2 linked regions of the Mus musculus genome follow. The main gene of each other region encodes a partner of the protein of the gene in region 2 in a complex. Links are inferred from orthologs where the notes say so. Each region holds a gene or a part of one and is shown on either strand. Other genes may lie near its edges. The genes, in order: Ndp and Fzd4.

Region 1 (3,826 bases), on a different chromosome or scaffold from region 2:
GAATGAGCTTGCCAATCCTAGCCTCCCTTGGACTTAACATCATACGATATCAATGACTAACAAAAGCCCCAAATATAATCTAAATAGTGGCTATCCTGTCTTTCTTGATGGGTCAGTCTTGCCTGAGTATTATTAGTTCCTTACTGAATTGCTAGGAGGAGGGTGACAGAACGTAAAACTGGCCAAATGCAAGTTCATGGCCATAAAATACAGAAAGTCCCATTAAAAGTGCCCAGAAAATCTTTATCCATTATTTCTATTTTTCTAGAAAACATTTATAGAATATGAATGACTACTATAGATAGCTACGTCTGGATTCTATACAATAGTTTCTGTGTTCTTTATACATTCTTTCAATACGAGGAATCAGGCAGTGGAAAAACAAAGCCTCCAAGCATAACATTGCCCTTCTCAGAGCATCAGGAACCCTAATCTGTCTTTTCTTGTGGATTGTGAGTTTCCATCATTGTAGCATGAGGATGACAACACCTACATGGCCAATGTGTCGGTAATGATTACAATATATGGTGTAAAGTGACTGACACTGATTAGGTGTTGGGGCCAGTGTGCTTCATTCCCTGGGCCACGTGTGCCTTTCATGTAGTCAGGAGGCCAGACCCACTTGACAAATCTATGTCAAGAATATTAACTGATAGGGGAAGGGATGGTCATATGTCCAGAAAATAATGTTCTTGCTTATGATATTGAGGAAAAAATATTGGTAAATCTATAAAATTTGCCCTGACCTCTTCCTTCTGGACATAGGCTAACATTTCTCTCCCAATCTCTAAAGGAAAACAGGATCATCAGAGAGACTACCATTCTGAGTCTGGAAAAGTTAAGAACTATAGAATATTTCCAAATGGAAATAATTTTCTTCCTGAATACATACAGAAAATTTAATCCAGAAAGAGTCTGGTAGCTGAAGCTGTGCCAGACACATCTTTTTTTTTTTTGTGGCCAAGGAAGGAAGGTTAATAATTACAAGCAGCATTTACATAAAACCATTGCTACATTTGGGGTCATTTTGGATGTCTGAAAACAAATTGTTCCCATGAAATTAGAAACATTTCTTCTATCATCACAATCTTTGCCCTGTTATTTACTGTAGTGCTCTGGAAGAAGCAAAGGTGAATAACAATTGACTAAAATTCATTTCTAAAAGTCATGCTCAAACCTCATGACATTTAGTTAAGGACATTTCTTCCTTGACTCTTTCCCTCTGAGGTTAACATGCTAAGGTGGTCTTCCATCATTTTGTCCTATCTTCCCAGATTTTTTTTTAATTTATTTGGTTCTGGGTTTGGAACCTAGAACCTCACACATACTAGGCAAGTGCTCTCCACTTTCAATTTTTTATTTATTCTACTATTTTCTATAACCCTGCCTTTCATCACAATGGTGCTTTCTTTAAATTTGAATTCCCCCATCTCTGTCTGTCTGTCTGTCTGTCTATGTCTGTTTCTGTGTCTGTTTCCGTGTCCATGTATGTGTCTGTGTCCGTGTCTGTCTGTCTGTCTGTCGCTTTCTCTAAAGAAACATGATTATGAAGCACAGTTCAACAAAGGAAGAAATCATACATGAATTAAATACTAGATATCAGTGCTGTGGCATCTGCTTCTGAAGCAACATCTAAACAATTGTGGTTATAAAGATGCTTCTCTTATCTTTGTTGCTGTTGTTGTTGCAGTTGTTATTAGTGCTTTCTATGCTTCTGTGGTGCTAAAATAAACCTAAGCAAGATTGTCCCACTCCTACCCCTTGGTGGCTACTCCAGCTCAATTTCTCCATTTTCAAGAAGGAATTTCATCAGAATTTATCCTTGTCTAATGATTTCTCTTTGGTTTTGTCCCTCAACTATAAGTAAGATCCAGGACATTTTCTTGAAGGAAAAAAAAAAAAACTCCATTTCTTTTCCCATAGTCCTAGGTCTTATTAGAACAATGGTGAAATTGATTTAACTGAATTTTTGAAGCGTTCAAACTAAAGATCTTCCTTGGGCTACAACCACAGACATTATAGAAAATGTAAAAGCAGGCATGCTTTGAAATGGAGAGTGGAGAGATTGATTCCTATGACCTTAATTCTAGTGGTTGATAGAATTTTGTAAAATTCTTAACTATATTGCTAATTTTAAAAAGGTTTGACATATGAGAATGTTTAAATGGTTTTTGTTGTTTTAGTCTCAGGACTAAAGTGGAAATTGTTTGAGGTTGAACTAAACAAAGTCTTATTTACTGTGTGGACAAATTTAAGACATGTGACTGGGGCAATGATGGTCATGAGAACTCTCATTTAGGACCCATTCCATCTTCCATTGTGCCTCCCTTCTGGGTGGTCTATGTGGTAGCCACCCTTGGTGGTCCGTTAGTATGTTATTACTTTGCACACCTCTTCACAGTACCAAGTCACAGATGACCTGTGCAAGAAACACTCCACCCACTGCCAGTAAGTAGGAACTGCTAAACAAGATAAAATGAGAAGCGATCAAATTGCCATCTTTAGTTGTGAAGTCATTTTTAACATCAGTGTGACACAGGGAGGAAGGTTTAGACCACCCAGATGGTTCTGGGGTAGTTCAGAAAACTGTGTGAACAGCCTCCAAGAATATGCTCCATTGTCCAATCATACTCCACAAATTCCCCATTCTTTTTGTTGTTGATGGAAGTAAAGGGAATTATGACAATTGAAAGGCTCTGTGTCTTCTTCTTTTTGCATATGTGGTGTGTGCATGTTCCTGCACATGTGCACATGGTGCACAGATTGTGGAGGTCAGAGGTTGGTTAAGGATTTGGTTCTCTATTGCTCCCTTACTTTTTAAGACAGTCTCTTACTGAACTTGGAGCTCACTATTGGAGTCACTTGGGCTAGACTGACTAGTGAGCATGTTCCCATGGGTTCTCTTGTCTCTGCTTTCTTGGTCTTGGGATTAGAGATGTGTACCACCATGCCAGGGATCTAAACTGAGGTTTTCAATTTCCCAACTTTTCCTATTCCCAGCCCCTATTTTTCTTTATTAAAAAGGAACACTATCACTCATGAATTTCCCAACCAGTGGTGTAAGACACACCCACAACAGAATAAGCTCACACATGTTCCATTACAGACACAGAAGTGGAAAGCATAGTGAGAAAATTCTAAAGAAATATTCCCTTGTAAGTTCTGCAGGCCAGTCATAGAGCTCCAGTTTGGGCTCTGGTCGTAGCTCTCCATCCCCTGACAAGGAACTATGACTGCTCTTGTATTAATGAGGGAGAAGGGTATCCTCCAAAGGCTTTGGAGTGACCTTGATCTTACCTTTGAGCTACATTTGTACAGTGGGTGACTGATAGAATCGACATAATGGTGTCTCATGCAGCGTTGAGAGTCCATCAGAAATGAACTGTCTGTTTTGCTGTCTGTATCTCCCATTATGGCCAGCAGGGAGAGCATAGAAATGGATGCAGCTAGTACATGATTTCTCATTGTTGTAAAGGGAAACTCCTCCAGAAAAACAGCAGAGGGAGACAGAGGACAATAGATTGGAAATGCTGCCACCTCCTAGGATCCAGTCCCTTTCAAGGCCAGAGCAGGATAGGGCTGCCGCTTTCTGGTTGTCATTGTCCTTTGTATGCAGGAATTTCTCTTGCTTCTTTCACTTGCAACCGATCACAGCAGTATGTGCTGCACAGCTGGAATGAAATCAGAAATGATTTTACCCAGAAATATATACCAAGAAATATGGATGCAATACAAGAGATATGAAGTCAAACATTTCCATGCCATTTGGGGTGACGAATATTGGTTTCTGGAGCCTTACTGGCTTATGCTTTCATCCATTTCATGT
Region 2 (3,571 bases):
GTCAGCTACTACTGCCTTGCTTTTCATCCCTTTCCTGTGCCAGAGTCACTGCACAACTCCCAAGACACCATAGCAGAGCGTGAGTAAGGGCAGAATCTGCCCTTGGGTGCACACTCCAGGGCCCTGGACAGCTATGGGAACTGTCTGTAAGCAGTGCAGGGCGTGTCCATTTCGCCTTTCATAGGCAGCTCATTCAGGAGTTAAATTGGCCCTTCCATGGATCAGTTCTCCTGCTCCTGGAGCCTTATGCCCTAGTCCAGTCTAGGTACTCAGGCTGCATAAATCACCAGGGGCCACCCAGGTCCACGGAGGTCTCTATCTCACCAGCCCCAAGCCTCTCATTTCCAAACACACGACAGGCCTATAGCATCTTGATATCAGATATCTACAGAACTTGCAAAAACAAAAGCTGTGGGGAGAAAATATAGTCAGAAACAAAGCTCAAACTGAGAGAGAGAGAGAGAGAGAGAGAGAGAGAGAGAGAGAGAGAGAGAGAGAGACCCAGTTTTTAAAATTTATATTTCCAGAATTTGAACACCTATTTGCCTATTTGGGATTTGGAATCCATGAAATGTTTCTCCACAAAGTAGGATTGGACAAAACATTAAGGGCTCTCTTACTAAAAGCATGAATCAATAAATAACTGAAGTTGCTGAAGCAGACAGGCATGAAATACAAGGAGAGCAACCTGTGACATGTACAATGTTTTGTCCCAGAGATCTGGTGATTAAAAGGCCTAAGGCAGGTTAAGAAAAAGGCCAGTCACAATTTTAAAAGAACTTCAACTTTTGATAGGTTGCTAGCGGGTACCCCCCTTGTGAGGGACTTAAAGCATAAATTTTAAAGGCTTTGGATACCCCAGCAAAGGCAATTAAGACTCGTGCTGTTAGACTTTGCAGCTCATTTCACTCCGTCTACACCATATCCCCTGCTAACCAATCCAGCCTCTGGCCAGCATTCTGGAGGTTCATTAGGCATCATATAAATACTCCAGGCCACACTGCCTCCAGTGAAATCTTATAAGAACCTTTGTCCATTACTAAGGAACAATTATGCACCACGTATTTGGATCTGCTGTCCTTAGTTGCCTTTGCAAAGCTGAATAAGTCTCCATTGTGGCAAGTAGACCAAACTCCGATAACATTCTTATGCTACAGGGGGGAAAGGCACTATCACACTAAGAATGCAAGTTGACCACAGTTTTAAAGTCAATTGAGTATACTATGTCATGGTCCAAGAATGTGCTTTTAATTGTAATTGACACACACAAATTACACAGTTAATCTGTGTGAATGCAAAGTTGCCAAGAAATTTAACATTTCAGTTCTTCCAGACTGGCGTCTGCCTAGATGCAATCACACAAACTAAAATATTTTAAGTCCCAATTGCTTAACATTGCTTAATGCAATAGGTCTCTAGGGTCGGTAAGGTAAGTCAACTTAGCAAATCTCATTTTTCTCTGAATTAAGTGATTGTCAGAAAGTGAATCACCTTCCCTTTTCCTCTCATTAGGCATGCTGCAGTGCAAAAAAAAAAAATCCTATAAAAATAACCTTTTTTTTTTTTGAGTCATTAGTTTAAAGTGAAGAAAACAGGGGCTGCCTAGAATTAGGGATGTTGAAATTTCAGGAGAGAGAAATCCACTGGATACCTTACGTGTGTTAGTACAGTACTTTTGTTTGCTCAAACAATTCTGTTTTACGACAAAGGCACTGAAGGATTTTGACACCACCTCTTGGGAGTGCGCTACAGAGTTCTAAACAGCAGACAGTGTAGGCCAGAAGATGTTTATGTTAGACCAGCCAAACTATAAAACTCTGCAACACGTCTCCCAACCCAGCATTTCCAGTGTTTATAGATCACTTTGCTATCTGCAAGACCTAGTTACTATTTAAAATTTAAAAGGGTTTTAAAAATTAATCTTTCTCCTTGCATGTTATCAACTCACAGTTGAAATCCCACCCAGTAGGAGCAAACACTATCACCCTGGGCTTCAGGAATCTAGGCGGGACCTCCACGGACTCCAAGCTGTGACCTGCTAAAGTGATCAACATTTTGATTTTTCACAGCTTTGAAAACCTCTAACTGGCTTTTCCATTTTGGACCATTCCAAAGTCTGCAGTGAAGCCATTGGTCTTCTGATGCTGAGTTGGGTGAGTGGTGGTGGGCTGACGTGGGTGTGTGTGGGCTGAAGTGTTTCTAAGTTTGTTCAAACTGAGATTCCCTGCATCACTTCCTTCACAATGAGGAACGAGGAAGCCGGCTAGTCTTATACCACAGTCTCGTTGCCTTTTCCTGGCTTCACCCAACCATTCCCCCTCTTCTCTCTCTTTACCTTCCCAGAATTCACCAATCGGTTAGAACACTTTTGCCACGTGTGAAGAGTTTTGGCAGACCAAATCCACATGCCTGAAGTGATGCCCACGAGCAAAGACATAAAAATTTTCAACATTTCAACTGCCATGTTTGAGTCATCTGCAGAATATCGAAAGAGTGCCCAGTTTGAGATTTCATAGAAATAACAGGCAATCACACAGGTTGCAGGAACCGTGTACAGTACTGAGAAGACCCCGATCTTGACCATTAGCCTTTCCAACTTGTCTGTCTTTGTCCCGTCTTTTTGAAGATTGGACCGGATTTTGAATAAGGCCACCAAACCCGCCGCAATGAACAGCGTTCCAATCACCAAATACGTAAAGAGAGGAGCCACCACAAAGCCAGTGAGGGCATCTAGATTTTGGTTCCCAACATAGCACAAGCCAGTCAGTTCATCGGCATCCACTAGTCTCATAATCAAGATGACAATGGTTTTCACTGCGGGAATAGCCCAGGCTGCGATGTGGAAATAAGAACTGTGCATTTCAATGGCTTCATGACCCCACTTGAGTCCGGCTGCCAAAAACCAAGTGAGTGTCAGAATAACCCACCAAATGGAGCTGGCCATTCCAAAAAAGTACATCAGCAAGAAAATTATTGCACATCCTGTGTTCTTAAGTCCTTCTTGGATGAGAACGGGCTCTGCCGCCTCTTCAAAATCACAGGATATCCTTTCCCGGCCTACAGTCAGCCGAACAATATAAGCAATGCTATAAATATTATAGCACATACTGAGAAATATGATGGGGCGCTCAGGGTAAGAAAACCTGGATGAATCAATCAGGAAGGTCAGCACGGTGAAGGTGGTGGAGATGAAGCAGAGGCTGGCCCACACAGCCATCCAAATATCCGTGAACTCCTTAGCTGAGCGGCTGTACAAGCCAGCATCGTAGCCACACTTGAGAACACAGTTCAGGCTCCTCTTCACCCAGATGTACTGATCAGAATTGCTTCCCACGGAGTGGCACTCTTCCCCGGGCTGGATGGGAGTCTTGTGGGGCAAGGGAACCTCTTCATCACCTGGTCCTTCCATGCACATGTGGTTGTGGTCGTTCTGGGGCGGGAACTTGCTGCAGTTCAGGGTGTCGGGCCAGGCAAACCCAAATTCTCTCAGGACTGGTTCACAGCGTCTCTTGACTGAAAGGCACATGCCACCGCACGGGCCGATGGGGATGTTGATCTTCTCTGTGCACAT

What was found.
Region 1: the proteins of Fzd4 (region 2) and Ndp are in contact, whole or in part, in a crystal structure (PDB 5BQE), measured with the Homo sapiens proteins. The link is inferred for Mus musculus from reciprocal best matches to the Homo sapiens genes FZD4 and NDP. Residues at the interface, in NP_036325.2 of Homo sapiens: Ser51, Met52, Gln54, Asn55, Leu56, Gly57, Gln95, Phe96, Met105, Thr107, Lys109, Ile114, Asn152, His154, Met157, Cys158, Met159, Glu160, Gly161, Pro162; in NP_000257.1 of Homo sapiens: Asp33, Ser34, Pro36, Arg38, Met40, Arg41, His42, His43, Tyr44, Val45, Asp46, Lys58, Met59, Val60, Leu61, Lys102, Lys104, Leu106, Tyr122, Leu124, Ser125.

What each region holds. Positions count from the first base shown.
Region 1 is NC_000086.7:16,891,111-16,894,936, forward strand, and holds part of Ndp (norrin precursor), read right to left. Parts: intron 3,672-3,826; 5' UTR 3,466-3,671; coding exon 3,298-3,465; intron 1-3,297. UniProt on the Homo sapiens protein: Activates the canonical Wnt signaling pathway through FZD4 and LRP5 coreceptor.
Region 2 is NC_000073.6:89,407,059-89,410,629, reverse strand, and holds the end of Fzd4 (frizzled-4 precursor), read right to left. Parts: coding exon 2,270-3,571; 3' UTR 520-2,269; downstream 1-519. UniProt on the Homo sapiens protein: Receptor for Wnt proteins.